Kluyveromyces lactis: one gene and its partner. The protein of the gene in region 1 purifies or fractionates together with the protein of each later gene. This does not show direct contact. Links are inferred from orthologs where the notes say so. Each region holds a gene or a part of one and is shown in the gene's direction. Other genes may lie near its edges.

Evidence for each region.
Region 2: the proteins of RPM2 (region 1) and RRG8 purify together in Saccharomyces cerevisiae (affinity purification with mass spectrometry; 4 studies listed by BioGRID, with this or other methods). This does not show direct contact. The link is inferred for Kluyveromyces lactis from reciprocal best matches to the Saccharomyces cerevisiae genes RPM2 and RRG8.

What each region holds. Positions count from the first base shown.
Region 1 is NC_006040.1:882,690-899,620, reverse strand, and holds RPM2 (ribonuclease P), read left to right. Parts: upstream 1-11,781; coding exon 11,782-15,444; downstream 15,445-16,931. Other genes in the region: GCD11 (translation initiation factor eIF2 subunit gamma), read left to right, coding at 1-1,325; GTPase-activating protein SST2, read right to left, coding at 1,463-3,610; cyclin-dependent serine/threonine protein kinase SGV1, read right to left, coding at 4,729-6,666; ERG13 (hydroxymethylglutaryl-CoA synthase), read left to right, coding at 8,106-8,207, 8,728-10,020; RSC9 (Rsc9p), read right to left, coding at 15,778-16,931. UniProt on the Saccharomyces cerevisiae protein: Ribonuclease P generates mature tRNA molecules by cleaving their 5'-ends.
Region 2 is NC_006040.1:1,269,964-1,285,998, forward strand, and holds RRG8 (Rrg8p), read left to right. Parts: upstream 1-6,014; coding exon 6,015-6,863; downstream 6,864-16,035. Other genes in the region: ALE2 (Ale2p), read left to right, coding at 197-1,183; KLLA0_D15081g (uncharacterized protein), read left to right, coding at 1,733-4,765; KLLA0_D15103g (flavin reductase family protein), read right to left, coding at 5,117-5,782; ESP1 (separase), read right to left, coding at 6,856-11,631; TEL2 (Tel2p), read left to right, coding at 11,932-13,932; HOB2 (Hob2p), read left to right, coding at 14,310-16,035. UniProt on the Saccharomyces cerevisiae protein: Required for respiratory activity and maintenance and expression of the mitochondrial genome.

The sequences.
Region 1 (16,931 bases):
TGAACCCTCTATCACCAGAAATTATCAATAGACAAGCCACTATCAATATTGGTACTATCGGTCATGTCGCTCACGGTAAATCTACCGTTGTGAGAGCTATTTCAGGTGTTCAAACCGTTCGTTTCAAGGATGAATTAGAACGTAATATTACCATTAAATTAGGTTACGCCAATGCCAAAATCTATAAAGCAGAAGATCCAGAATGCCCAGAACCAGACTGTTATAAGTCTTTCAGATCTGACAAAGAAGTTGCACCAAAGGTTGATCTTCCAGGTTACAGTGGACGTTATAAACTAGTCCGTCATGTTTCCTTTGTCGATTGTCCTGGTCACGATATTTTAATGTCTACCATGTTGTCTGGTGCTGCCGTTATGGATGCAGCACTACTTCTAATCGCAGGTAACGAATCCTGTCCTCAACCACAAACCTCTGAACATTTGGCTGCTATCGAAATTATGAAGTTGAAGCACGTTATCATTTTACAGAACAAAGTCGATCTAATGAGAGAAGACTCTGCTCTGGAACATCAAAAATCTATTTTGAAATTTATTAGAGGTACCATCGCTGATGGTGCTCCAATCGTTCCAATCTCAGCCCAATTGAAATATAACATTGATGCTGTGAATGAATTCATCGTGAAAAGTATTCCTGTTCCTCAAAGAGACTTCTTAGCGTCTCCGAGATTGATTGTCATTCGTTCCTTTGATGTTAACAAGCCAGGTGCCGAAATCGAAGATTTGAAGGGTGGTGTTGCCGGTGGTTCCATTTTGACTGGTGTTTTCAAATTAGGCGATGAGATCGAAATTAGACCAGGTATCGTCACTAAAGATGATCATGGTAAGATTCAATGTAAGCCAATTTTCTCCAATATCGTTTCCCTATTTGCTGAACACAACGACCTAAAATTCGCCGTTCCAGGTGGTTTGATTGGTGTTGGTACTAAGGTCGATCCAACGTTATGTAGAGCAGATCGTCTAGTGGGTCAAGTCGTTGGTGCTAAGGGCCATTTGCCATCTATCTACACCGATATCGAAATTAACTACTTCCTATTGCGTCGTCTATTAGGTGTAAAGACCGATGGTCAAAAACAAGCAAAGGTTAGAAAGTTAGAGCCAAATGAAGTTTTAATGGTGAACATCGGTTCCACCGCTACTGGTGCCCGTGTGGTTGCCGTCAAAGCCGATATGGCAAGATTACAATTAACTTCCCCTGCATGTACAGAAGTTAATGAAAAGATTGCATTATCTAGACGTATCGAAAAGCATTGGCGTTTAATTGGTTGGGCTACTATCAAGAAGGGTACCACTCTTGAACCAATCGCTTAATCTGTAAATTAACTAAATGATTTTATATATGTCTATATGTATATATTGTCACATTAATGTTCCATTTTCTTGGTAGAAAAGGCCACATTCTTTTGCAAGATGAATATCTTTATTCTTCATGATGAAATGCCTAGGTTCTACTTGTTAGCAGTTATTAATGAAATTGCGTCCCTATACGATTCTGTTGCCAGGAATTTGGGCAAAGAGTCGTTCTTCATCATGATAAATACGGTATTTCTGATTTTTTCCAGTAACTGATACAAATCCTTCAACATTGATATAGCATGAATAATGACGTATGACTCAGTACCCTTATTAAGAGGTGTCGGCGCCAATGGCATTGACGTGTTACTATGGGATTGTACTTTATGCTCCACGCATTTCTTCCGGGCAGCAGGATCGAGGCTTAAGGGTCTATTAACAGATGCATCCGAAATGGCTCTTGAACAATTTTCCTTGCCTGAAGTGTCGAACGCAGTTTTAGTTGGAGACTGAGGGTGGAATATTATTCCAGTAATTGTTTCTCTAACGTTATGATCAATATTAAGTTGATACGGAGACCCCAGTGCAATATAAGAGGAGTAAATATGGTAAACCAGCGAAAGGCATTCGCTAGTTTGTTTTAAAAGAGCTGATTGAATTGTATCTTTCAGTTTAGTACTACCACCAGTTTTCCATTCCCTTAGATCCATCTTATTGTGTTCGCTCTGGTTTCGAGACTCAATGAGTTTTCGCAGAACCGACATTCTTTTTAAAAACTTCGTTATTTCAAAGTATACGTCTAGGTTTTCTGCACACATGTCTTTGCAAAGATGCTCTCTAAAAAGATATCGCATCCCAGGATCAGCCAGAATTTGTTTGAGAGACAGCAACTTTAAACCGTCAGGATTATAATTATCGTCCCCAGTACCTGAGCTCGAACTTGAATCCGAGCTTACATCATAGTTCGACACCATTACATTTTTGGTTCCAAAATCATGTCCGCTTTTGAGCTGAGAATTACCTGGGAGTGAACGACTGGAGAGTTTTACGCTGCAATTAACGCCGCCATAATTCTCAGTATCCGTTCCGATTTTAACCCCGTCCATGAAATGCGGAATCTTGGGTAGCCCATCTACTCCCCATTGAATTACGTCCCAACCGGCTTGGGTCAATGTATAGTGTGCTGTTTTTGAAATTAGAAACTTTTTCTTGCTGTTTTGACTGGGAGGTAATAAGATTGGTGTAATTAGGCCGTATTTCAGAAAGAGTGCTGCAACTGCAACACATTCTTTAGGGTACATTATATCAGTACATTCCATCAACCATTGCCAAAGGGCTTTTGTGGTGAAACAGTAGTCAATAAACATTCCTTTTCCAAAAGTTTTGTTCCCGAACAATCGAAGCCCACAATCACTCACATAATATTGAATGTGAGAGTCAGAATCTGGATTTGAAAAAAATCTATATGCAAACGGAGATTCTCTGTCCTCATCTTCAAGTTGTCGAGAGTTTAACGAATGTAGATTGTTTTCAGTATGTTGAGACTGTGAATTTCCTGAAACATTATTTTTAGGGTTTTCACCAAGCTCGTTTACGGCGAAGTCTGGTGACACATTTTCAAATGAGAAAACATCTGAGCTTCTTTGATCCAATAAGTCAGAGAGCTTAGGAATTTTATCTGTTGGATTTTTTGGGGACCATATATTAGGTTTTGGACCCATGACCTTGTTGAACAATAGATTTATGAAGTATTCGCTTTGAATGACAGAATCATCTAACGTATTTCGCTCGAACTTGAAAAGATTCATCGTATTGAAGTTTGAAGTTAATATTGGAGGCAGCTCTTTCAATGCAAACTTCCTGGCATAATCACACGTTACGGCCACCCCTTTAGGAGTCGGCTGCAAAAGAATGTTCTCTTTTGGCCGACTTCTTGTCTTATCCGCAGGTGTATGTAGTAATTTAGCTTTCATAAAAGTGTTCAATAGCTGGTATCCCAGTTCTGGTTTGATGGAATAACTGATGTAGATACTAGTGGAATTCATTTCCACATTAAGCTCCAGCTCCTGTAGTAGATCAATAGCCTCCGTAATTGAAAATGTGAACGGAAAACTTTTCTTAGCGAAATTCAAGAGTCGATTGCTACTTGATCTTGGTTTTTCCTCCAGCGGAAGACATATTATCATAATAGAAAATACTGTTTTCAGTTCATGAGTTAATATTGAGCCATCGGGTGAGCGGTCGAAGCTATTAGAAAACAATTCATGCAGCGTTTTTTCCTTTTTATTTGACTCCGAGACCATATTATCTATTCATAAGAAGAAGTAAATCAAAAATAACAAAGAGCGCGACAGTACAACATGCATATACCTCCTGGTATAAATACAGCTAAACCCCCCTTTAATTCGTGAAGCGAAGCCAACAGTCTTTACGTCTGAATAAATTCGAAGTTGTCAGTTCTTGGTTTTGCAGTAACGTACAATCCACATAAATACCAACTGCAAGTATCACCTCTCGAGAAGTAGGGTTGCTAACATTTGTATCGAACGGCTCAAAGCATTCCTGGTGCTCTATATATAAAGGCAAATGTTGATGATCTTAATGGCTTGTTTCAGATTATCACGGCGTGGTTATATCCTGGTTCACCCAGTAACGGATCTTTTGAAACAATGTTGAATTGTTTGTGATCAAATCATTTTCCTTTTTCCCTTCCAGCGTGTTTTTTGGGCAATATTGACATGAAACATGCAAAGTTCCGGTACAAACCTCAAAATGTCCAAGAAATAGGAAAATGAAACAATAAAGCTATGATAAGATCGGTGGAATTATTATACCGACATTCTAATCGATACTCAAACACAGTGTGAAAATGAGGCACTGTTTGCCTTCTTTTAATTATTTGTGCAAATCGGTACCTATTTGCTTGTTGGAATTGTTTATAGCAAACACATCGAGCATCAGTTGAAACGTTCGAGGAATTTCTGTGATGCACCGCCAACAAAGAAATTACCCCAGGGTTCAATTCTGCTGGAAAGTGCATAACTTAATGACCATGTTTAAATTGTTTATCAGTATATTTAAGTTGCTGCTTGGTGATTATTGACGTGCGTAATTTTGATTTGGTTTCCAAATCTGGATACATCAACAATGAATTTATACCAGCAAAAAATCTTCATCAGCCATAATTTCCCTTTTATACGTAATGATATCATTCACAGACCACATATCATAATCTGGTTAGCACTTTAATGGATGAATTTCTGGGATACATGAAGAGAAACAAACGCACTTTCCCTCGTAAACTATCTATATACTATTTAACAATCTCGAAGCAGCAGGCCACTTTGGGGAAAAAACATGTCAAGTTGGGTTTAAAAAGTAGAAAAGTACCAGCATAGTTTCAAGCCCAATTTAAATTTAATCAATAGTAGTCTGCAACGTCTTTTGGTTTGACATTGTTGGAATGCGATGACTTGGAATCTTTTTGCGTAGATTGTGAGCTACCATGGCCAATGGTCCCTGGATTTTCAGAAGCTCCCGGTCTGTAACTTCTCCGATCACCAGCTTGGCTGTATTGATTATACCCTGTATTTCTAGAGGTATTGTAGTCCTGATTTTGATATCTGTTAGGATAGGATCCTCCTCTAGGAGCAGAAGGACGTTGTATAGTAGGATGATGCGAACGATCAGCAGGTGGAGCATAATTGTTATTATAATTTAGACTGTCTCTACCAGTTTCCCATCCTCCTCTATTACGGTAACGTTTCCCGGCATTATACGACTCGGTAGTAATTCTTGTATTCACACCGAACCTTGATTCAGCCGGATATTTCGATGCATATGAATCACGAGGATTCGGTGGTAATTTATTTGGTCCAGTCGGTATACTGTTTTTAGGACCTTTTGGAAGAGGCGCAGTCGGAATAGGTTCTTTGGGGATGTTCTGAGTTGCTGCACCATTGTACCGTGAGGCGGAGGGTTGCGCTGGAATGGTTGATTTTATGTGTTCTGGTCTAGGAGCCTTTGGTATTGAAGCCTCTTTTGGAAATGCAGCACCTGTCACAGCTCTTATGGAATTATCAGTCGATGTATGTCCTGTTGGGGCAGATGGCGGTCTTTGAGACATAGATTCGTTCATCTCACTTTTGTATCTTTTAATATCGGATTCGTGGCATTCTTCGTTAGGCAAAGTTAGCTGTGCATTTGGCAACGGTTCTTCGAAGAAGAAAGGGTGTTTTTTAGCCTTCATGGCAGTTACACGCTTGTATGGATCTAGAGCTAGTAATTTAGAGAGAAGATCCAAACCTGTCTCGTTCAACGCTTTCGAAAATCTTTCTTGCAACGTACTTTTATAGTTTGTTTTTGTCAACTCGGATCCAGGTAAATGGTAAGCTAATCCCCATTCATCCATCGATGGTGTTCCCATGAGTTTGAAGATGACATGTCCTTGATCAATATCTGTTTGACCCTGAAGGATTGGTTTTTTCTCAAAGAACTCAGCAAATACACAACCAATCCCCCAAATATCAACTGCCGTAGTGTAATGTCTATCACCCAATACAATTTCAGGAGCTCTGTACCAACGTGTAACAACGACCGAGGTGTATTTAGCACCTGATCCAGCACCACCAGGATATTTAAGATTTGGCGGAGAACCATAATAGTTTCTTGCTAGACCAAAATCTGCAATTTTTACGACACCTTTATGATCTATAAGGATATTGGCTGTCTTAATATCACGATGCAAAAATTTATTGCAGTGAATATAGTTAATACCTTCCAACAGCTGTAGCATGATGTTTTTAACATCAGCCATGCCGAACTCCACTCTGGGGTTATGTAACAACCCTGTTAGATCGGAAACCATGTATGGTAATATCATGAAAAAGTGTTTACCTGTTATGAGCTTCTGCTGATTTGCCGTGTTGTTTCCATGATAGTTCCCAACAGGTCGAGGAGACGTACTATCTGTCTTAGGAGTTGGTGACTCGTCGTAGACAATCTCAATCAACTTTACGATATTTTTATGATTCATGCGCTTCAAAATGGTAATTTCCCTCTGAGCTGTTATTGGAAACAAATCCTTTTCTGCTCGTACTAAAATACGTTTAATAGCAACCTTTCTATTTGTGCCTAAATGAATCCCTTTAAAGACTTCACCGAAAGTACCTTGCCCTAATTTTTCTTCCTCACGATAGTTGTTCAGAAACTTAGTAACACCGTACACCTTTTCATTTTCTCTGCTTTGAACCTGAATGTACTCCAAACCAGTCTTATCATCTTTAACAACAGTGGGTATCTGTTTCACTTTGCCTATCTTATACTTCAAAGACGCAGGCTTCTTATTCACAGTGCTCATGGCTATAGTATTCTTTATTCAATGCAAAGGAGCGATAGCAACGATTTTTGTAACTCTTACAACAAAAACTCCAATAATTAGGTTTTATGATACTTTAAACTGCCATGTGATGCAATAAATGACCGTTCACACAATAATTACTGATTGCAAAAGGACCGTTGTTGTACAAAGCGAATTTGACATTCATAACTATTCTTTAATTTGAGTTTAAATTTTGCTTAACATGTTATACAGGTTGAAATTGTCATTATTAAAATAATATCACGTGACCAATATGGCGTTTCTACTCAAGAGTCACAACCGCTTTAAGTTTATAACTAATAACCAGCTCTTTTGTAGATGCCATTTTGAAGGTACGGTAAGTATTCTGGGGCCTTTAACTTCTAAACAAGCCTATGAACTTCAGTAAGCCATAGTTTTACACTCATTTCAAAAATGAAATCAGACATCGGCATTAAGAATGAGTCTTATTCTACTTCTAGCTTCAATGAAAGTATATATCACTGCAGAAACATTTCGTGATCTTCTTGGTTGTCAATTAGGATAGCGCTTAATTGCGCCTTTTTGGAATATATAGTATTGAAATGACGCACGAAAAATAAAGCACTTACAAACGAATAGGCCGATCATGAAACAGTCATCCTAAACGTCCATCTGCTGAACATCTAGTGACATTGTCTAGAACACGCTGTTACTTAAGGAGTTCGCCAATAAAAATAGGTTATTCTAATGGGAAGATGATGATAAACTTGTCTCGTTCTTACTCCTGAAGGTGAAAAGTGGAGAGCATTCGAAACAAAGGAGATAACGGTGTTTGACTTCAATATTTCACTTTCTAAAGCTAAGCAATTATCAAAGTACCTATTTACTAAAACATATTTGATGGATATCACAACCCAGCTCCAAGAACAGCCTAGTTCACTGGCTGAACTATTCTTTTAGCTGAAGCTTGAACGTTACACATTTGTTTTATAAAGATACTCTCATCGCTAAGATAACAAAAAGAGCACAAAAAGCACCTCCCTCAACAAAAAAAAAGGAAGCGCTATCTCGTATGCTCTGTAATTCTAATTATACGTGCGAAAAATGGACCAAATTACGCAGTGGAGGTGAATTATCCAGCAAAATTATTTGTATCATAATATATGTTTCTTTCCTTGGCTGTACAAAATTGTACCATTTTTTTTCTTAAACGACAGATGTTACAAATTTTCATTGAGATGGCCTTTTTTTTCTTTTAACGAGAAAAATATCGACGTGATATTTAAAGATGAAAAAAAATAAGATACACTGATGATGAACTTTCGTGTTTTAGGTAATGAAAGAAAGTGTTAACTCTTGCCAGCGGTTCTTTTAATATAAGTTGTTTATACCATACTACGCTGTAGATTATATCAACACACAACTCCCATAGTTATTCAGCTAACCCTTCAGAAATAATGACTGAACAAGATCTAGCCAAGAAGCAAAAGACTGTGGATCAACCACCAAGACCTCAAAACGTCGGTATCAAGGGTATCGAAATTTACATCCCATCTCAAGTATGTTCTTAATACGTCAATTACTGTTATAGCAACTCACGGGCTTGCATATTTTGTTGAATTTGAGCGTTTTCGAGACTTCTGTTCCTACTTTGCTGAAGTACAGCGGCTGTGCAAATAAGCTTAAACGAGGAATACAAAAAAAACGGACACAGATAGTTGCCAAACAAGAGGGAATTATTGGCCAGTTCTTTAATTATGGATAGGAAGGCATCATTTGGAAAATTTACTAGCTATCAGCTCTTCGGTCTTCTTTCTTTGTAGGCGCTGTTGGTCCTTATATGTGTTCCCTCTGGTTTTGCCGCCACTAGTAGAAAAACAAGAACAAAGTGATTTGCATTGAAGTTGAAATCACAACAGTATTAACTAACTGGATAAATGCATCTTTTAATATGGACAGAGCATATCCTACCAAACGCGCATCTGATCCTTCAAACTTTGCTACGAGAAGCCCTCACCGCGTTGTTTTCTCAACCTCACCCAGTCTTACTAACATTTATACTTTATCCTTTCGAAACAGTGTGTCAACCAAGAAGAATTGGAAAAATTCGACGGTGTCTCATCCGGTAAATACACCATTGGTTTGGGTCAAACAAACATGGGTTTCGTCAATGACAGAGAGGATATTTACTCTATGTCTTTGACTGTTCTATCTAAACTTTTGAAGAACTACAACATCGACACCAACAACGTTGGTAGAATCGAAGTTGGTACCGAAACTCTACTGGATAAGTCTAAGTCTGTCAAGTCTGTTTTGACCCAACTTTTCCCAGGAAACTCTGATACAGAGGGTATTGACACTTTGAATGCTTGTTATGGTGGTACCAATGCTCTTTTCAACTCTTTGAACTGGATTGAATCTTCTGCTTGGGATGGCCGTGATGCTATCGTTGTTTGTGGTGATATTGCCATTTATGAGAAGGGTGCTGCCAGACCAACTGGTGGTGCTGGTACTGTCGCTCTATGGATCGGTCCAGATGCTCCAATTGTCTTCGATCCAATAAGAGGTTCCTTCATGGAACACGCTTATGATTTCTACAAGCCAGATTTCACAAGTGAATACCCTTACGTTGACGGTCACTTCTCATTAACTTGTTACGTCAAGGCTTTGGATAAGGCTTACGAGGCTTACTCAAAGAAGGCAATCGCCAAGGGTCTAGCAGCAAAGCCTGCTGGTAACTCTGCCATCAACGTAACCGAACATTTCGACTACAACGTGTTCCATGTCCCAACTTGTAAATTGGTTACCAAGTCTTATGGTAGATTGTTGTACAATGACTTCAGAGCCAACCCATCTCTATACCCTGAAATCGATGCATCTTTGGCTTCCGTCGAATATGAAACTTCTTTGACCGACAAGAATCTGGAAAAGACATTCGTCAATGTTGCCAAACCATTCCATAAAGAAAGAGTAGCTCCTTCCTTGATCGTCCCAACTAACACTGGTAACATGTACACTGCTTCTGTATATGCTTCACTTTCCTCCCTATTGTGCTACGTCGGTTCGGATGCTCTACAAAACAAGCGTATTGGTTTGTTCTCTTACGGTTCTGGTTTGGCTGCATCTTTGTTCTCGTGCAAGGTTGTCGGTGACATCAAACACATCGTCGATGTGTTGGACGTTGAAAACAAGCTAAAATCCAGAAAGACCGAGTCTCCAGAAGATTACGAAAAGGCTATCCTGTTGAGAGAACAAGCCCATCTACAAAAGTCTTTCGAACCTACCGGATCCATTGAAAACTTGTACCCAGGTACTTACTATTTAACCAATGTTGACGACAGGTACAGAAGATCTTACGCTATCAAAGAATAATTCAATGCATAGAAAAATGCATTAAACAAATTCATTTATCATTCTCATCCATTTTTCTCTGTTGTCTATCTACAAAAACGATATCTTGATTTTTTTGTCTTCTGTTGAAACCTTAATAAATCTTACTCGTTGACCAATCCTGATCTGCGCCCTTCCACCTGACAAACTACTTTACAGAGGAAAGGAAAAAAGAAATACCTTGCTAGCTCTATGTTGCACCAGTATTTTTAAAGATGTGATACTTCTGTTTTATTCATAATAAACAGTATTTGCGTTGAGATAAAGTAAGCAAAAGATAGTATCTATCGTCATCTTCGTATCCGCAACCCAATCTCATATCCTGCAACCACCTCGGATACCTTGCTGGTCCCCACACTAAACGCAAACAGGCAGAAAATAAATATATTTATATGTATATTTTAGACACACCACACACGTAAATTTAATTGCCTTTCCATTCATTACTGAACTTAAACTTACCTTGCTCGATTGATTGTGTTTTTCAGAGCTTCTTCCTGCCATATTCCTAGCTTGTATGCTAGCAGTAAGCCTCTCCTTCCGAATGTCACATCCAATCCTATCTCCCGATGGTAATATCGGTCCAATTCCAAAATACGCTATTTCCCATAGCTAGTCATTCCTTACGATCCTTTTGTAAATACGAACATCGCTTAGCACTGTTTTCGTTCGAATTACTTTTCCCAGTCTGAGTGAATTTACTATGCGAAACATCGCTACCGTCCAGAAATCGGCCAATAGAACACAATCGACAGAAAACGCTAAAAAAAAAGATGATTGAAGCAATACAGTTTTACGGTAGTTTCTATGAAAACACCCGGACACCACACCATAAAGCTCGTCTTTCCGGCTTCTGAGGAATTTATCGTAACAAAGCTAGTAAGCTCCAACAGTTGCAGAGCTTAGCCCTCTGACTCCTGAGTGTGTCCGGAAGAAAGAACCAATAGGAATATTACTGAAGCACGGTAAAGTTTAATTCTGTGCCACGTCACAGCAAATCACAGCTCAGGGATCAAAAATAGACCTGGTGGTTGATCTGACTACTTTTGTTTCTAGGGTAATACGCTCATGTCCTAAGAAAAAATGACTAACCAAAAGAGCTATCCCCGGGTAAGAAGTAGTTTCGCGGCTCTAAATAATAAGCGTTCATAAAATTTCCGTGCTTTTTATGGGGGATTCCCTCTGTTAAATCTCTGCAGCATATCAGAATGCTTCTTTTCCCTCCGTATCAGAATGACAGAAAATAAAGAAAACTGATAATTTGACAAAAAAAAAAAGTAGAAAACAGAAAGTAGAGAAATAGGAAAAGAGAAAACTTCATATATCTATAGAATCAAATATTCATCCCTACCGGTAATATTGGCTCAGCGGTCAATCAAGAAGTAAGCACAAAAGTTGATATTAAAAGGGAGCTACAGAGTCAGTAAAGCTTAGTTTCTCTGTATAGAATAAGCTTCAAGCTGGAATCATCTCTCTTATATTCACTGATTGACTTGGTCTTTTTTCCCTTCCCTGTCACGCTGGACTAATTGCATCATTATTGACCGTTGAATTATTTACTGTCTCACTTTGTTAATTTGGAGGGTTGATAGATATTATATTGGCTTCCATAAGACGAATCTAACTTTACCGTAAAATAAGAGTACCTTGGGATAATTGTCCTTCTTTTTTGACAGGAAAGGTATTTAGTTCGGACTTATTGTTTCTTCTCTACATCGTTCAAATAGTGGGTTAAAAGACAGGATGCACTTCAAATCATTGAAATGTAAGTTCTACTGTAAGGGGTATCATTCCTCTGCACATAAATCGGCAACGTCCTTTTTTGATAGCTCGTACCAGTATTTGAAACAGAATCAGGGACTTGTGAACTTGGATACTGCTATTCCTCAACATAACATTTTGACTGCTGTTCCACATCCCGTAGTGGTGGCCAACGTTAATTATAATAACGTGGAAAGGGCTTTACAGAGTAGAGACGCAGAGCTGTCGAGATTAGAATCAGAGGAGCTAAATTTATTTTATGAAAAGGATGGTGAAATTTTCTATTCTGGCGAACATGATGTAAATTATTCGAAGAAGAGCTCGTATGGTGCCAACCACAATAAGAAGAAGAGATCCAACTCGTTTACCTATCTATCGAATGAAAAATCTGCTCTAATTAACGAGAAGTTGTCTACCCGTTATTATTCTACCAAGGTACAAAATTCTCAAAATAATGCAAATAACAATCTACGAGCAACTCCGATCACTCCTCCAACTTCACCTCCTGTCGAAAAGCATCATAGTTTAGAGAAATCTGGAGCGAAAGAACAAACGGATAAAGGTGCAGTGCCGGAAGCTCTCTTAGATCGTTTAAAAGATGTAAGATTGGATGACTCAATCCCGGCATGGGAAACAGATTTGGAACCATGTTTGAATAAAGAAGCATTTTTAGAAACACAATCTAAGCTGATAGAAGATTGCATGAAGAACAAAAATTATAATCAGGTTAACGCAATTTATAAATCGTTGATAAGAAATGAAATTGTTCCTCCGTTGTCATTATTTGAACAAGTTTTGACTTCTATTTGCAGAAGGGACTTAGATCAAAATAATATCGATAACCAAATGTTTGAATTACTTAACTGTTACCAAGATATAATTCAGAATAAATTAAAACCAAGCGCAGAAATCTATCACCTTGTTGTAGGTTCATTGTTGTCTGGATCAATCAGAGCGTTTGAGTTACACAACACCAATGGATTAGATTTTTTCAAAATTGCCATTGATCTGTTCTTTGCTTCTAATTTGAATAAGAATAAGTCCTTCGACCATGAGTTTTTAGATAATCTTTTGTTGGCTATCAATTTATACCCTGGCCACATAAAGTACGGCTATATCAAGAATTTCATTGATTCAAACGTGAAGTATTCAAAGAATGAAATCTATTACATTTCTTTAATCTCGTACGCCAAGATGTTGAACGAACATGAGGCAGTAAAAGACCTTTATCAAGATTTTAGATCAGAACTTCTGAAAAATATGCAATTGGTTGAACACCAATATGAAGTGTACTCTGTCGTCGTATCAGCTTTTGCTGAAACTGGATCGTTAAGTTTAGCTACAAAGCTCTTAGATAAGCTTCTTGTGGATCTACAAGCAAAAGATGGGCATAACAAGAACGTTTCTTTGGTCATTTCGAACTTTTTGATATCTGTCGGTAAAATAAATTCGGAAAAGGCATATAAGTTGTTGATGGAATTCAGTAAATTAAAATGGGTACCAGAATTCTCTTATGAATTCTACTTGGTCATGATCGCAAACTGCCTCAATACTAATTGGCCATTGGTGAAAAGAATATACAATTATATTTTCCCTATGAAAACGTCATTCAACACCACGAAAAACGATAATAAAATCAAAAATTATTTATTGTATCCAAGTGGATTGGAATCGATGCCCAGCACTATATTGACATACGCCCTAAGGCAAAAAGACGACGAGCTCATTATGAAATTGGTCGAAGAATCGAATGTGAAAAAGACTACATTCCAAAGAGGATTGTACCCTTACATTTTTAGCTACTTCCAAAGCATAGGTTGCCCGGAGCCTTACTTACTTCGTTTTGTGAATATTCATGGTTCTGCACTTTCAACCGATAGCAAGCCTCTAGTATTCGAATTTTTGAATGCATTGGTCGAAAACTATCAATCGCAACCTATCTTGAAGAAGGTATCAGAAATGCCTTTCTTTAAGAGTGCCTGTGAAGCGTTCACTCTTGAAAACGCTTCTGCAGTTAATTACGCAGGTTTCATTGTTTGTTTCCAAACGTTGTGGAAAACTCCTCAATTGATTCAGGATTATTCTTACAATCTTGAATTGCATGGAATAGCTGTTTCGAGATTATATGATCTAGATACCTACTATTTGGATATTCAAAATGAGATGTTGTTAGATTTCAAAAAACAAATGGCTGAAAGATTCCAAAAGCTTTGCGTTAACTACAAACGAATTCATTTGGATGCCAACAAGATTTCCCCTGTAGCAATTCAAGCTATGAAAATGGTCGATCTTTCCGAAGATACTGTGGCTTATTTCCAACACCCTGGTGACTGGGACAAATCTTACCCATTAAGCTTGGGTCCGGTATTGCGTAACTCCAAAAGGACAGGGTTCAAGCAATATGAAAGACTTTCCGAAGATGGCTACAAATTTGATTATGATACTTTCTCCGAATTGATTCACCAGAAATACATAACCTCTGATGTTATAACCAAGACTATCAATTTATGTCCAGACAAGGAAACCCTCAAGTATATCTCTAATTGTATTGTTGTGAAATGTCCAAAGAATCTTTTGGAAGAGGAGGTAATTCAACATCAGTTATTCAGTAAGATTCTTGAGAACCTAACAGATAAATCGCTATCAAAGCTTGCGTTAAATTGTGAAAACATCCGGAATTTTATTAATGCTGTTGGTTTCCCCGATAGGTTCAAAAGTATTACTTCTCAAGCGGAGTACAAAGGCGCTACCGCGGTTATATTTGCAGCGCTATTTAGAGCGAAGGACTATAAATCAGTTATCATGTTCAATGAAATCTGTCCATGCCTAGACATTTCATTGATCTTGAAATCTTTCATTCGCCTAGGTGACTATGATAATTATCTTTCTCAAGAAGCGAGGTTTAAAGATTCTATGTCGCCTGCTGCCCTTGGCGTAATTCGATCCGAATATCTAATAAATCAAAAGAAATTTGAAGATGCAATGTTACTGCTTAAATCTTTCCCAGATGTTATCGATCATCAAACCTATGACAAGTACTCTTTTGCATTATTTTTATCATCATTCTCCGGAACTCCTGTTGATGTAGACTTCCAAATCGAAAACACGTTGCAGTTAGCGAACGTGCTCTCAGCCCAACATTCTTTCCACAATATGATTCACTGTTACGAAAGCATGACCAAAGGAAAGGAATTTTCACAAGACTTGAAGTTGAACTTTGGCATTAAGATGGAAATTACCCAACAAATTCTCAACAATATTGAAGATTCTATGCAATTTCTTGATTTAAATGATACTTCTATTATAGAGAACTATTACTCCAAACTCGAAAACTACATGAGATTCAGGGGTTATCTTAAAACAATAACTTTCACCGAAGACCAAATGTTGCAGTTGCTCAATATATGGCAAAAAATTAACCCAATTTTGGTTGACAATTTGTTCAACAACATCGTCGAATCAGTATGTTTGAACAACGCTGTAAAGGTTATAAACTTCAATGATAATGGTTCTTTTAACGTTAGCAAGACCTCGCTAATGGTACTTTTAGATTCCATTTCTGCCATTTACAAATCTGAAGGCTTATCTGATCATCATTCTAAAGTGGAGAGTTTCAAAGATATTATAGATTCTTCCATGCACTAAACAACTTTCTGCTGATGTTACCTTATTCTTACTATACTTCTATCATACTTTCCATGAACAATCTGTCTCATGAAGAAAGTTTTATTTATTTATTATTTGATGAGTTTTACGATTATTATGACAAAAATGGGTTTACGCTGATCCATTCGATACAAAATTCTGATATTGTCAGAATTGCTATCATCTATTTTTTATTTTGTTTCACCATTTTTAATTCAATTTTATACATTAGTTAGGTCTCCCGTTGTTTAATTTTTACCTTTAATCGATACGTTATACATTTAATTATTACAAAACTACAACTTTAATTACTCTATCGGCCTAACGGTAAGTTCAACCTGAATGTATGAAGTCCAAAAGAACAGTATTTAAAGGTGGCACGTCAGCAATTTGATGTAATATCAAAGGTTTCATATCATGAATAAATTGTGCCACGATCTCGGTACTATCGTTAGAAACAAGTGAAAGGAATGACGCACTTGCTTTAGATACATCAGAAAGATTCTCGGGGAAAACAATATCTGGCAAACAAATTTGAACTGCTTCCGATGGAGTATTGTTGCTTTCAAATTCATCCGGGGTTTCAGTCTGTATAGGCGAGGACTGGTCAATATCTTTATTTGCCTCTACGATTGAAAGAGCTTTTCTGCGAGGCTGTATACCTCTTATTACAAATTTTTTCTTCGACGTTGCTTCATCTACAACTACCAAAGCGGATGCACCGGGCAAAGCATTCGAAACATTTTTAATGAAATCAACGGCAGTTATCAATTTTCGATCTGTTAGTTTTACTTGTTCGCTGAATGTTTGTTCATAAGTTTTCCATAGAAGAATCTGTGTTACTTCGCCATTCAGAGATCTCTCAAAGCAGCATCTCAACCAGGAAGTGGCACGCATTGGTTCGTTTAGCTCAAATAATTCCTTGAGCAGTGGCATTGGCAATTCAGGCGCGTGTGCTGGTGGTTGAGGTTTTACCCTCTGTATAAGTTTGATATTAGTATTCGAAAGGGCATGATAATCAGGGGTTGATACATGATACGTGAGGAGAACAGGGAGAGTACTAACTAGGATATCATATCTTTCCTTATGTGATAGTAATGTCTTTATTCTCTGATGACCAGGTAATATATATTGATAAAGGAAATCTAATGAAGCAATTATTAACTCTTCATCCCTATCAATTAAAAGGTTATGAACAATCTTGTTCAACAAACTATCATCCAAATTATCTGCTGCACTCTTTTGGTCCGATTTAGATCTCACCAAGAGTCTAGATAATGATCTCAAAATTGAGATCACGCAGTATCTATCCTTTGTATCACGAAATATCAAACAGAGGTTTTGGAAATATAGATCGTCTTTTTTTGCTGGTGCAATATAAGATGAAATCGCCTCCATTAAATCAAGAGTATAGATTAACAATTCGTTGAAACTGGATGTATGTGACTGATAGATTGCCGAATCCTTCGAATTGAACGTATTTGCCC
Region 2 (16,035 bases), about 390 kb from region 1:
TGTCTCATCTCGTATTTTATGATGGCATCTCTCGAGCAGCTTTATGGAACAAATTACTGTAAATCCACATTCACCACTTCAAACGGAACTAGATCAGAAGGAGAAAAAAAGGCTTTGTGCTACTACGGATAGACCAGCAGCTGTGGTACTGTTTCCCTCGAGGTTGAGAGTTTTGTTGCCTGTTCAATAACCAAAGATGAGTAGTTCTTTGTTTAGCAGCGTCGTTCCAGCAGCTGTTTCCGAACAGATAGATCTGTTCACGACCTATGTGATGTCCTTACCTCCGCACCCTCATTTGACCGAGTACGTGATCCCATATCTCGAATCCAATGGATGGATTACTTCGAATGTGATTCTATCCAATTTACACACTGTGTTGTACATTGCCGTCGGGTATCATGCGCTATTCCTGTTATCTCAACGGGTCTTATTCCCACCTCTAGCTTCTTATAGGTTATCCTGGGATCCGGAGACTACGAAAGACCAACGTAAGTCTAAGGAAAAGCAGCATGCAGACCTTGTCAACCAGAGTGCCGTTCGTCTGGTGAGTTGGATCCAATCTCTGATCGTGCTTTATCTCAGTTTCGAGGCCATTGCATATAACAATGAAAAACCAGATCTAAACTCTCACGATCGTATCTTTGGCATGGACCCATATAACGTGAAGGTATGCGTTTTCGCAATTGGGTACTTCCTATGGGATATCTACATTTCATTGGTCTACTCTACCCTCCCATTCGTGCTGCACGGTTTGATCTCTACGGTGGTTTATGCTATTGGTTTAAAACCTTACATCAACTACTACGCAGGTATTTTCCTGATGTTCGAGCTATCCAATCCATTCTTGAATATCAGATGGTTCGGGATCAAGTACTTGCCACAACTGACCAAAGACTGTCAGACTGTCATGGCCAAGGTGTGTAACGTGATCCAATTGGTGAACAATGTCGTTTTGATCTTGATCTTCTTCTTGGCAAGAATCTGCTGGGGTTTCTACCAATTCTACCAACTGTGTACCGATTTCTACAACATCAGAAACGATCCAAGCTTCTTACCTCTCGAAACGGCCATCATTGTGACCGGTAACCTGATCCTTGACGTTTTGAACTTATTCTGGTTATCAACCATGCTTTCTGTTGCTGTCAGAATCATCAAGAAAGGTGGTAAAGTCCAAGATAAATGAAGATAATACAAAGCGAGCGACCGGCGAATAGACCCTCAGATTCTGAGGCTCGTCCCGCCGTGTAACATTCTGCCTTATAAACTTTTATAAATCTATTGAATTTAGATACAGAATCCCGAGAGATAAACTAAATATCCTTACGTACATCCAAATCAAGTTCTTGAATAAACTCTGACGATTTCCTGAAGCACACTATAGCAGCCTCCTCATGCCCTAAATTGCTATTCTTGGACCGTACACGGCTGAGCCCATGACTCTGTTTTGAGTTTAATCAAGAGAATGTACATAAATAGAATCGAAATAATTGGAATTTGAATCACACACATCACCACACCATGTCAACACAAAAACAAAGAAAGAAAGCCAAATAACACTCCTTAAACTCCCTGTACCGTCGAGTAACATAGATAATCAGTATTCACTGGAAGCACATAACATACCAGTGTGATACGAGTGGCAACGGAATATCGCTTAGCATTGTTGCTGTTGACTTTATAATCGGTTTATTTTAGGGACAAGGAACCAAGCTTTGATCTGTCATTATCAGCGATGGAACCGCGAATTGAAGAAACGGATACTGGATCACTGGCAGATAACTCATCAGTTGCTTCGTCGGATTCGAATTATTTATTGGATTTAGCTGATGAAACCGAGTATGAGGATATCTTACCCAAGACCAACTATCATTCTCCTTATTACGTGAACGTTCCGACTCCCAAGCATTCTCTCTTGGCAGGAGCTGGTGCTAACAGTGCCAGTGCTGGTGCCAATTCAGGAGCCGGTAATGCAAATATCAGTGCCAGAGCTGGTGCTAATGTTGGTGTGGGCTCGGGTGCAGGTGCTAGTGCCAATGCTGGAAAAGCTGAGGGATTAGACTTATATGATGATGGTACAGCGTCATTTGTGCGAGAATATCCTACTGATATCTTGGCGGATAGGTTTCATAAATGGCGGAAGATCTTGAAGGCGATGATCATTTATTTGAGAGAAGTTGCATATTCGCAAGAACAATTCGCAAGAATCAATTATTCCTTGAAGAATTCTGTGAAGTTCTCATTCTTGACTGATTTAGATGAAAGTACTAACAGAGTCTCAGATCCATTGACGAAGAATTTGCCACAAAAGAAACCGCAACCAATGACGCAGATGAAATCGCCATTTGACGAGAAACCGGATCCGTTTGCTGCCAGTAATGCTAGTACCCTGAACAATTCAAGTATCGATCTTGGGCAAGAGTTGCAACTGGAACCTAACGACAGTTGCTCTGGCGCTGGGTTCATGAACTTTGGATCAGGTTCTATACAGGACATTCAAGTTATTCTAAAGAAGTACCACCTCTCTTTGGCAAGTCAACAAGTTAAATCGAGCAAAGAGATCACCCTACAGATCATTCCAAAATTAGAGGATTTGAGGAAAGATTTGAGCCACAAGATCAAAGAGATTAAGGAACTCAATGCTGATTTCAAAACCAATATCCAAGAGCACGTCGCATTGACGGGGCAATTGCTTCACAAGTACATTGCTGCTGTGAATTTTTTGAACGATAATGCTAGCAGATCTGATTTGATCAAGTTAAAGAGAAATTCATCTCTTAAATCGAAACATGATCCTTATTTACTAAAGTTACAATTGGATTTACAATTGAAGAGACAACTTTTGGAAGAAAACTATTTGCAAGAGGCCTACATCAATTTACAAAGCTCTGGTATGGAATTGGAAAAGATTATTTTCTCAACTATTCAGAAAACTTTGCAAAAGTTTTCAGCAATCATTGATGTTCAAGCGCGTACTTCCATTAACAACTTGTGCAGGGAGTTACAAAGAGGTATTCTTTCCAAACCACCATGTGTAGAATGGGACAACTTTGTTAGTCATCATCCAAGATGCTTGCTCAACTGGAAATCTACTGACCCTATCCCACAGCCAAGAAAGTTGTCTGATATTAGATACCCAAAAATGAAATCTTCGTTGGCTAAGTGTATCAGAGCCGGATATTTGCTAAAGAAATCAAAGTATTTGAAACAATACAACAAGGGTTATTTTGTCCTAACATCTAACTACTTGCATGAGTTCAAATCTTCAAACTTCTTTAAACTGACACAGGACACCGGCGAAAATAGTGAACATGCAATCATACCTAGTTCGGGAAACAAGGGGAGGTCCATTATTCCTATTATGAGTATCTCATTGAACGAGTCTGAATTGCTGGAGATAGAAGATAAATTTACCATCAACTGTAAGTCGACTTATATTATGGAAGAGAGTGCTAGTGAATCCATTTCAAATGATTTAAAGAAGATCTCTAAATCTACTTCAACAATTTCCAAGCTCTTTAAACCAGGAAGTGGCAAACACGGTAAGAACAACAATTTAGCAATGGGCTCTTCAAATGATAGCAGAGTAGTGTCTGGTGGTGATGATACCGTAAAATTCACAAGTATCACCTTCAAAAGACCAGCAGATGTCGATGTCAAAGAATTCAAGAAATGGACTAATAATTTGAAAGATCTAACCAAATTCCACAATACTCTGGATAGAGCCAGATACATCGAAGAAAAGATTTTGAAAGCTCACAATAAATTTGCTAGCAGCACCTTGAGCTTGGGACAATCTAAATCGGAACCAACTTCTTCTCTTCACTTGTCAAGCCAGTCTTCAAGTAATTTACAACAGAGACCACACTACATACAACTTCCTTCTGTCTCGCAAGTGAACTTGAGATCAAAGGTAAATACCCCAGCCATTGACGATAATGGAAATTTAATATTTGCCACGGAAAGGCCTAAATCTCTGGCACCTACTATTGAAGCTAGGCCGCCTCCTACCGAATTGCCATCTCATCAAGTATCTCCAACTTCGTTCATTTCTAACGATGGCTCCTCAGGCTCGAATAAAACTTCTAATATGGGATACGTTATAACTAGCAATGGAATGACACCAGTTCATCACTTGACGCCTTTGACCCACGTAAGAACAACAAGCGGTGATGCCGGTAATACTACGAATCATACAGGTGCCGAGTTCAACTTTTTCATGTCCCCGAAGGATATTTCTGGGAATGTGACTTCAGCTAGTAACACCTCTAGTGGTAGTGGTGGAGGCTACTTTGCAATTCCTGTGAAATCAACGTCTCAACACTCGACACCAACCGGCGAGGGCTCAAGAACGCCGAACGCCATCCCAAAGATCCACATCAACGAATTAGAGGCACCACATCCGGCGAAAGTGATACCTCTCAATCATACGCCAGAAACGTCCACCTCGAGGAATATTCCCTATAACAATTTGAAGAAGAATTCGAGCGCAAGCAGCGTCCCATCAGTTAGCTCATTACGTGCTGCTTCACCTATTCTTTCTAACCCACTTCACAATTTGAGTACTCCAGCATTACAAGGTGGGAAACAATCACAAACGCAACCTGTCAGAAAGCACAAGAAAACGGTATCTTTCAACTCATTAAACAGTTTGATGTTTTCTAAAAAGGCACCAACCCCTGTTAACAGCCAGTATTTATCGGATGCGAAAATCAACGAGGATGATGATCCTAATGCTATCAACATTCATGAATCTTTGTATTCCTGATTCCACTTTTGTTCACCGCTCAAGGCTTGAATACAGGTGCACCCTTTTCGATCACATACATGAATAAACGGTATGTGAATATATACACAGATATGGATATAGATATACACATGGAAGGAATGTTTTTTTTTATCGTAACTACCGAAATGGCAAGCTGACCAAAGCAGGCTCCATTGGTGCTCAAGATAAAACCATAACAGATGTTATTTAAATGCAGAGTACAACTTTTTTCGATTCGTCAAAACAAAGAGTATTTCCTAACCTGTCATACTTAAGGGTCTTTGACCATGGATAAATTGCTCATTAAGACATTAAAATTCGTATCGTAATACACTTTAATAAAAGCGGATCTTAGCCAGACTTTTTCCTAATGGGATCTCCCAACGTATGGAAATTCCGATTACAGTACAATAATCCACCACTAATCGGATCATCAGCACCTTCCTCAGACGTTCGATTCACAATATCCTCGACCTTTCCGACCCATATCTCATGATCACCCACGTTGAAGGTTTTCAAACCCTGACATACAATGACTCTCTCGGCGTTCTTCAACAAAGGAATACGTAAATTAGTACCGTTTATGTCATAAGTATCGTATTCGACGCCTTCTTGTAACCCTACAAAAGGTTGAGTCGGAACTATCTCACCATTATGGGTGTTTTTCATGGCACCCTTACTAAAGTTCCGGGCCAGGTGAATCGATTGCTCGTTAGGTTTCATAAGATGTAATGCAAAATGGTTAAAATCGTGTAAGAAATCGGAAGTAAACGAGGGGAGCTGCAGATTGAATTGAATAAGCGGTATCGGCATCAACGAAAGCGACGTAACACTGGACAATGTAACACCACGGAATCTATCGCTGTTACAATGTATAGGCACAGCTGTGGTCAAAATCATCGCTTGATTACAGATCCTTCCCATAGTCTCTCTGAACTTTTGCTGGGTTATATCATGAATAGATATCTTGGCAGTAGAATAAAGCCTTACCATCATCGTACTATTGAAACCTGGCATAATGGTTAATCACTTCCACCTATCTAGATGCCTTGAAGCTCGAGAAATCTTGTTGCCAATTCACTAGTTAGCCTTTATTCTTCTTGAGATGTGGTATAACCGGTATGTAATCAAGTGAAAAATTGTTTAAGCTATTGTTTTACCACTTAAATGTTGAGAGAAGAATCGATGAGCAAGAGGCAATACATGATTAGCCTATGGCTAAGACAGTTAGGTACATGCATCGTGTAATATGAGTAAAGGTTGGAGGAAACTATTCGTTTCTAGAGGCGATGGGACTAAGAATTCTTTGAAGAAGACGTTGAAAGTACCAGAGGTACGAAGTCCCTTATTAACGAATTTCCATCGATGGGCAGGGAAAGAGCGGGTCTTGAAACTTACTGACAAGGAGCAGGTCACTGAAGCGGTTGGAAATAGTTCATGGGACCTTAGTAAGAACCTTTTTGCTAATTTACTGGCCTCACCAATGAGAAGTGACAAGGCATCGCGATTCAAGTTCCCCAGAGATTTATTGATTCAAATGAAACTGGTGCAAACTGGTAATGAGAATCCGGGGAAGTTAGCAACATTGATGCCACTGATAAATATGAAGAGCGGTAAAAGCAGTTCATACGTAGCGAACAGTTTGAAGATATTTAAAGGGAAGAAACCTGGTTTAGGTCAATTAGTTCCAACTGCAGTCAATGATTCGGGGATTGCTAACATATCGTTGTCAGACATTGTGCTAGACAAGAGTCTATTCACGGAAAAGCATCAGGAGGAGCTACTACAGTGCATTGAGAATTGCATGACACAATTAGTTGACCGGCGAAAGTCTTCTGTTCCAGTCGTAGTTGAAGATTGGGATGTAGTATTGACATACGATCACAATAATGACAACGATATAGAGCTTGTACGGCTTAAGCAGTTACCCAAAGATCCCACTGTAATAATCTTGAATTTAAAGGTAGTAGAAAATGATTCGATAAGGGCTTTGATTAATGATAAATTGAAGAATCATGAAGTTGGTGTCGTTTTGAAGTTCTTGAAAGATGAACGTCTGATACGATTAGTGTATAGTCTACTTAATTTCTCTAAATAGATGTTGGTACAGTTCTCTCGGTAAACCGCATCGGCAATCCATATATAACCATGGCTGCACCAATTAAATATTTCATGTTGCATTCATCTCTTGATTGAGATATTGCCTCACTGACATTTAAAAACTGTTTAATAGTTGCGTCACTTTCATCAGTTCTTGAGATTGGTTTGGAATTAAAGAATCCGGTCTTTTCGAAAACAGACACTGATAACTTGTCTGTGTCCTTGTCTGTCACATCCCAAAGATTCCCCACAACCATAGGAGACCCACCAAGTAAGTACGAATAAATGGTGCCACTGCTTTCAAATGTTCCGCAGTATTTTAAATGAGCAGATGAACAGCCCAATAAGAGACTAGGTGCTAAATGGTTACATTTTCTCAAGTCCTTTAGTTTAACATATTGCTCTCCACCGCTATGTCCAACATATACAAACAAATTAGAATCTGCCACAGAATGAAAAAATTCGTCTACCGTTGGCGGTTTACCAATGAAAGCCTTTGAATTAGTCCTGCTCGCCATTGCAATGAATTCTGAACTAAATACTGTCTCTGTTCTACCCAAATCATTTCCAGGATTTAAGACAAACGAGAGATTCTCAGAAACGTTGACGCAAGGAGAAAGCTCTGAGTGTTTGGTTAACAATTCGTCGAGCATTTTTATTGACGGGACTCTGCTGATGGATATGGATTTCAAGAAATCTAAAGATTCCCAAGGTATCGAGTGACATTTATTACCCAATATTAAAAACGTATGATCTAATGTTTGATCTTTGGTTTTAGATTCTGCATTATATTCTTGTAACAGCTCTTCGAATTTAACATGCATTAGATTTACGTCAATCTCATCATATGCATTTTGCTCGCCGTGGAATAATAATATATCAAACACGAAATATATTAAATCTTCCATCATGCTTACGGCCTTCTCAGTTGGTTGATTTATCACATCTAATAGGACAAATAATTCTATCAACATGTTATCTACCTGAAGAAAAGAATCTGATTGTCTCGATGATTTTCTTGAAGGAAGATGCGTGTGTAGTATTGATTGGAAGCCCTTTTTGAAGATTTCAAATTGCTGCTGATCAACTATTCTTGGGTTAAAAACTCCTTTGAACCCACAAAACCATGAATCCTCAATTTTAGTGAGAAGAGTTTGGAGTCGATTGTTCAAAGCATACCTTTCATCCCACCAGTTCTTCCTTTGTTCTTTGGTGGTAATGACCGAGGTAACTTCAATTGAAGTGGTACAATTGTTGGAAGAAATGATATGGTTTAACTCATCGAGGGCGGCTTCAAAACCCAAGACCTCTTCCGAAAGGTCTCTGGAATTATGACGATTCAAAGGTAAACGTAAATGAAGGTGTTTGTTGCGTACTGTATCGAATCTAGTAATTAATAGATCACCAGTGAGCTGGCAAATGTCAATCTCTACCACATTGAATGAGAGATGAGACCATTTTTTCCCAAACTCTGAATGAATAGTTGCCAAATTCATATTACATTCTGACATTTCAACGGATTCAGTAGCAATAGTTTCGGGTATAAAAGAATCATATATCTCTGTTCCCATATCAGAGAAAGCTTTTTCATATAGTAATGACAATGATCTTGGGTGATCTCGTAACCTGAAATTCTGCCCAAGTTGGCTTTCCAGCCTTGTTTTGGTACTCATGTTGAAGAATAGTGACAATGTCAATGAATGTAAGCTTGCTAACTCTCGAATTTCATGAGCTTTTAGGGCCTTGATGTCAGCATTTTGAATGAAGCGATCTGTCATTTGTAAATTATTGATTGCAGTGGAACGATCAAAAGAATAGGCAAGTGACTTACCCCTAGGAGTAAGAGATGATGGGCGGGGTGAGTCATTCACGCTTTTTAAAGTCTGTACACTAGTTAGTGATAGTGATTTATGCCTCCCATCAACTGAAATACTATCACAGTCATAGCATGCAGGAATAGCCATCACTGATTCGCCCATGCTTCTGAAGAAGGTATCAGTGGCCATTTGCTTCTGGACCTTGTTGTACAGGATTTTTGCATTGTTCATACATACCATTGCTTCAAAATCTTTTCGTGTTGTTTCAGTTGAAGTTTTTTGACAGCTTCTCAATAACCAATACTCGACAATGTCTGAAATAAACACGTCATCTCCAAAGAACAACCTCATAGAATTATTCAGTTTCTCGGATTCCTTGTTAAAATACAAGAATGTGGCCAAAGCCTCTATGTTTGCACTTCCATCAATCTGGTCGAAGGCAGCATTCATTTTTGTTAGTGATAAAGAGGCATTTTCTGATTCCTCTATCAGCTGGTAATAGGAACATAGGCAGGAAAACATGTTGAAAAGAGCTGTTGGGTTATCCAACGACCCTATAACCTCTTGATATTCGGTTATGAAAAATGCACAGTCTTTGAAAATACCGGTGTGGACATAAATGCTAATAATTCTTTGGAAAATATCGTCAAGAAGGCTTATTACCTCAAATCGATACTTGGCAGAGAGCACCGCTTCTTTCTTTATCAAGAGTCTGCATATTTTGAGCGAGCGTTTGCATTCTTTCAAAGACATATAGACGTTGTTTTGAGAGAGTTGAAGAATGGATGCGCAACGAGTAATTTTGATGTTTAACATTAGAATCTTCAAATATTCAGCGACAGGCATTTTGGTTTTATTCTGAATGTCAAATAGATTGGGTCTAAATCTCGTTAAATCATCATGAATTAACTTATTGAAGGTTTCGATGTCTTTTTTCCACAGTACCTGGGTTAATAGAATGCATAATGTTGTATGTAGCTGATCCACATTCATCTCAGTGAAAGACGACGGCTGGTATTTCAGTGCGGAAACCGTTTCCATGATGGAAAGTTCTACCTTAGGCCCAATTTGCAAGCCAACATATGACTCCAATAGCCAGTATGAAATCAGGTCTGGTATGGATGCATATCTCTGTACGCTTCTTAGTTGTGTACATATTTCAGCAGTAAGTTTGTATATTTTGTTTTGTAAGAGAAAAGGCATCATAGATTCCAAGAGCATAAGCTCTAAATCTGAGAGTTTTGTTTCGTTTCCCTTGTTCACCCATTTCTCTAAGTATATATTGGAGACCTTTTGCAATTTGAGACAGCTGTTTCTGTTCATTTCAGAATTCAAACAGAACATTGATTTTATTAAGACTTCATATTTCGAAAATGAATCCAATGTGTTGATTTTCATGTCGATTTGAAGGTCAGACTGTTTTACATCTGTGACAATATCAGTTAGCATCTGACACAAATGAGACCACTTGAATTGGTAAGAAAAATGAGAGCCAGAATATAAAAGACACAACATTGGCTCTGAAGAAAAGTTGAAGATTTCAAATTTGTCTAGTTTCATCCTGCGAAAGCATGGAACTAAACTCTTTCTTGTCAAATTCCACATATCTTGGAGTGTATTTTCTTTGAAGATCATGAAAACGTTGCATACGTATGAAAATAGCAACTTTTGAACATTTCTATCTTGGCAGCAACCAATAATTCTCTCGAACTTTTTAAAATGCTCTAAAATATTCGACGTTCGTAAATATGCTCTGTAATTGACCATGGCGGCATGTTCTAAGAATAGAAGCTTTCGTTTCGTAACAAAACAATTGTATAGAACAGCCGCAACATTATCAGTCCTTTTGAAGTCCTCAAATGATAAAAATATTTTGGATAGGTAAACAAGAACATAAATTACAGCTTCCTCATTCAGGTCTTTAATGGAATTATTGACAGAAATGATTAGACTATCACACAATCTCGAGGATGATTTGTTTAAGGCAGCTTGATACAAAAAAGGTCGTAGAAGTGCATCGATCTTACCTGCAGAAAAACTCTGGAGGCGCAATTGATTTCTTATTTCCGTGCAAACGTCCTTACCTATAACATCAGTCCTCAAAAATTCGGTCAAGTTCACTTGATCGTTCTCCATATGTTTCGTATACTCATCATAGTATTTCGGTAAATAGATGTGGCAGTTTACAGATATATCCTTTCGAAGTAATTTGGTAATTTGTCTTTGAAACGTCGAAGAATCCATATTCTTTATGTAATTACCAAATTCGAGTTTGAACTGATTCACATACTGAACGAATTTGAGTCCAAACAAAGGCTTGAATCCAGTTAGCAATGTAAAGAAGTTTAATATTAGCTTCACCAAAGCGTGGACTTTCACATTAGGGTCTTTCAGAAGGTATCGCGTATCATGAGCAAAGCATTCCAAAAGACTTTCCGCGTGTCTTTCTGTCGTTCCTGTTTTCAATATCAACTGCATTGTTATTACTTTTAATGTTGCTAAGTAATTCTCATTGCCCGCAGAAAAATCACTTAACAAAACGTCATCAATACCTTTGGCCTTAATTAAATTGGTTTCGTTGTATAGCATTAAGATCTGATTGCTAGCTTGTGTCAATTTGTTTCTCTCCATCAAAAAAATAATCCAATTCATATGCTTTTTCGGAAGTTCCTGAAGTTTCTTCAACTGATGACGCCAGATCAATTGGCGATATAACTGAATGAAACTATCATTTACTTGAATGTAGTTCTCAAAATCTTTGCTCTTATTATCCACAAAATCGTACAATTTCTTCCAGTCAATCAGGGAGTTGGTATTATTCTCCTGTGCTGTAGTTATCTTCGAACTATTTGACGTAGCCTGCCATTCCGTATCGTATTTTGTTGATCCAGCGTTTAACGGTCTTCTAACTCTGTTGTCAACTTTCATATCACTCAAGACACCTTTCATTTCGATATGACTGCTGTCTGTTTCAAACGTACTACAGTATGGGCTAAAGCCTGGCTACCCAATATCCACGAAGTTGGCGGGCTGATATGTGTATAGTCTCTAGTTCTTTCTGCAATCTGCCACTTTCAAGTACAGAATCTAATATGTAAACAAAAACAATTCTTTATTTGTGTTATTGTAAAGATTGACATTTAATATGAGATGAATAAAAGACTATGAGATGAAAACCTATAGATGAGACAAGCATTGCAAAGCTGCTAAAGTGCTGCTGACGTGATAGATTGTATATTATAGCGCACAATGTCCGGGATTGATAGTACTTTGTTGAATGAGAAATGTGATAAAGATACCATTTATCAGGTACTAGAACGAATGTCATCAAAGAAACAGCATTCTAGTAACGAAATACTCCCGATAATCAAGAATGTGGTACCAATATATCCATCGCTACCGAGAGAATTAAAGATGGCACTACGCAGGCTATGCGGTAATAATTACATATTCATATCATTGGTTATTGAGTATGCAAAAGAATTGGGTAAGAATCGTGAGACGTCAATATTCTACGGCTTTTTAACGGATGTTCTTAAGTATGAGAGTGATTGTCTATTCAATTACTTAGAGCATTCGTCAAGAAGAGATCTCCCTTTTATCAAATCGATTCTGTTTGGAAGCAGATGTTATAACGCTTTAAGCAGCAGTATTTCCATCGTTGAATATTTAAAGTTTATGAAGATGCAATGGGAATTTGTCTTTAAAGAGACGAAGCAATATGATAAGACGCATCTCGAAATGTTCGTTTCATGTCTACAGCTCAATATTCCTTATGGTGTTGATATATTCATTGAAGGGCTTGCTACTACTAGTGAATTTTCATGGAATGCTTTGATTATGATGTTATCAAAGGGGACCTCAGTTCAACAGAGGAGATTTTTCATGTATCATTTGGTCCCGTTCCTTGAAAAAGTAACTAATCCTGATAACAGCTCTACCATTTTCACACTACTATCCCAGTTACCATTCGATATCCCAACTAGCATAGATTGCTTCAAATGGGGAAATCCGTATTTTAAAATTGTTTACTTGCATGGTATGTCAGAAGCGAAACGTGCACAGCTCTTCAGAGAATTACTACCATGTTTTGAACTGATGGATTTATACACAGATGATTCACTCGCTGAAATCTTGGTAATGATATTAGATGCCATGTCTAAGGATTCCAGAGATGAACTATCGCATGATGCAATTTCCTTGAATTTTGTCACCAAGAGACTTCATTCTGAGGATCATCTGGTTAGGGAGCGTACTATGTTTGTTGCCAAGAAACTTACAAATGATCAGCTTCAATATGAAAGCGATTTTACAATCGATTTGCCTCGAATTGAACTAATCAAGCTATCCAAACTTGAATTTCCCATTAAGGAAGGACTACAAAATCTGCCAAAAGGGAACTCTACAAAGAATGAACTTGTACAGCAATTTAATACCATAACTTTGCAGGACAGTGACGATGAATCTGATGAAGAAGATTCTAGAGACATCTTGTTCCTCAAAGATCTTTTGCTGGAATTCGAGAAAGTTATCAAGAATGATGGGTCCGAACTTAGATTGCTAAAGGAAACTGTGAAGTTAGTACGACAGAAGAAGAACTTCCCAACAGAAGTATCTTTTTATTCTAAAGAACTCCTCAAAAAGATAGCCACCATATCGAACAAGTTTGACGAAAAATCATTTGAAGAATGGAAGGCTAATGCATTAGTTAGCATATTGGTTGTATGTCCAGACAAGATTGTCGATCTTTATGCAATTCTCTTCAATAACGAGTTATCGTTGCAACAAAGGATGGTAATCTTGACATCTGCAGCATTGAGTGCAAGGGAACTACGGGGTTTTGATGATGAATTTGTGGTGAAACCTAAATACGATTTTCCTACTAATCGATTACCATGGGATGAATCGGCCACTGAACAGCAACCTGAAAATAATAAGATACAAGATATTACTGAAATAACAGGAAGCAAGGTTACTTGGAGATCAAAACGTTTAGAGACTGATAGTAAGATTACACAACAGCAGAATAATTTTAGGAAGTACGCTACACTCTTCTTCTATCCCTTGGCACATGCTTGGTTGAACGGAATTAACCTTGGTGCATTCGATAAAGTGTTCAAGAGACACTACATATCTATGCTCAAGATCATTTTAACTTGTGCAAGTCCTCATTATGAGCTAGAAGAGATGCAAATTTTGATGCAAGAAATCCTTTCGGATGCTGTGAAACAACAAGTTCAAACCTCTTAAGACTCATTGAATGACAAAATCTGGGGAATTCAATGGAGCCTATGGTTAGAGGAAAAAAAAATTTTCATCAAATTACTACCTGCACACGCAATGTATATCTCGACATATTTGACTTCATAACCTATTTACACTGTTAAACCGTCTCGAGCGTGCAACCAAAGGTTTCATTGCTTTCCCATAAGCAGTTAACGAGTTTAGGTGCCCCAGCGCATTGGTCACGTGATTTCCCGAAGCTTCTCTTTTAAGGTAAAGAAAACGCTCAAAAGTTCGGAATAAGACGCTGATCATTACAAACAACCATTCACTTCTGCTCACCGCCAATCTACCGACACGTTAGATCTGGGTAACAAGTAGCTACTTGCGTCAGCCAATGAAACATGGGATATGATATTATATCGCTGTTATTCAATGGCATTAAATCAATTCTGGCATTGATGACGATACTTTTCGTTACGCAACAGATTATATTCAATCTTGCGTTACTATACTTCAATGCTAGGATTGTCATTTCTAAGCTCCAGATTGGATTTTTATTTGGACGAAGCATTTATTGGTTGCATCTTATTTACAAAGGCTACAGTTTTAAGGTACGGAAGGTGTTACTACTCTCACTTTTTTCTAAGATTGAATGTTGGGACGTAAATGTGGTATGTGAATTTGAAGAGCATATACCGAAGGAGATATCGGATAATCAAGATATTAGTCTTCTGATACCTATCAGCTTATCCAGATGGAAAGTGCTATGTAAGCTTATGCCAATTGAGCTTCGTTTGGTAAACGTTAATTTCTCATTACCGACTGTTAACTTTTTGACGGATTTGGCAGTTTTAAAGCTGGAGTACAGCTTCGAAACGGATCGGGTAATGCTAGTTGCCTTCTTCCATTCAATAAAGCTGGGGAAAGTTGCAAGCCTCTCTCAACTCGAATTGTCGTCACATTTCCATTGTGTTCATGATGATGCCGGTCTAAAGTTGCACAGATGGACCAGTGGTGTTAACATAGGTGGATTGAAACTGGATACGACAGTACGTGAAAAGATGTATCGTCCAATTGGAAAGACCCGCTCTAGCGAAAAGACAATAAGAAGATACAAGAAATTCCTTGAAACGCTTGAACTTTTCACTGTTCAATTAGAGAATACTAAAGTGTTTCTCCCAAATGATCAATCATGTTTTGTATCCAATGCCTCACTGCATATGAATCCGTCTCGAGAACTAGATAGTTCTGTTGAAAACTATAATATTCACAACCTTACAATTTCGATAAACTCTCTGGTATACACTTTAATTGCTGGAGAGGATATTAGGATACCAGTCGTTAATGTTCTACTTACATGTGACGTCATTGAATTTGCTGAGCAAGACTTTAATGTTCAGTCGTTCACTGGTTCCTGTACTGTCAACATAATTGACCCTCGTGTAACATTATCATTATGCAACCTCCGCGATTTGTTTTTGAAAACACAAACATCGGCGGATACCAAGAATACACCAAACCAACTTGAACTCCCACCAATTATTCTCAAGATAATTATATCCAACAGTAACCTTCTGCTGAAAGAGGATACTAAGAACTACTATCATTTGATTTCAGATTCGATAAGTTCGGAACTTAACCTTCAATCGTTAGTGCCTTCTGCTTATAAAAATGATACTACTGATCTTTACAATACTTTATCAAGTACGGTAAAACTTGAAAGGTTTACAGTAATCTATAATCTTCCCTCAAAGGGTGAGAGACGCAAGCATCAACTCATTTCTTTCGAGAAATGGCATTTCGTTTGTGATAGATACGGTTCGAACCCTGATACGGTTGCTAGCACACTTCACAATATACAAGTCAATCTTGATGAGCTTGTAGTCATTGATGGTCTTCTTAAAGTTGTGAAATCATTCACTCCAGCTGAACCAAAGGAGACTCTCCAGCCTTCTCAAGGAACCAATCATCGCTTCTCATCTTACCAACTTCAAATTGAAGCTAAGGGATTGTGTTTTACGCTATCAGCAAAAGACTATTTACCATCAAACATGCCAAATATAGATCATTCAATTGTACCTCTGAGGGATGGAACCTATAAAATCGGTTTAGAAGTTGATCAATCAC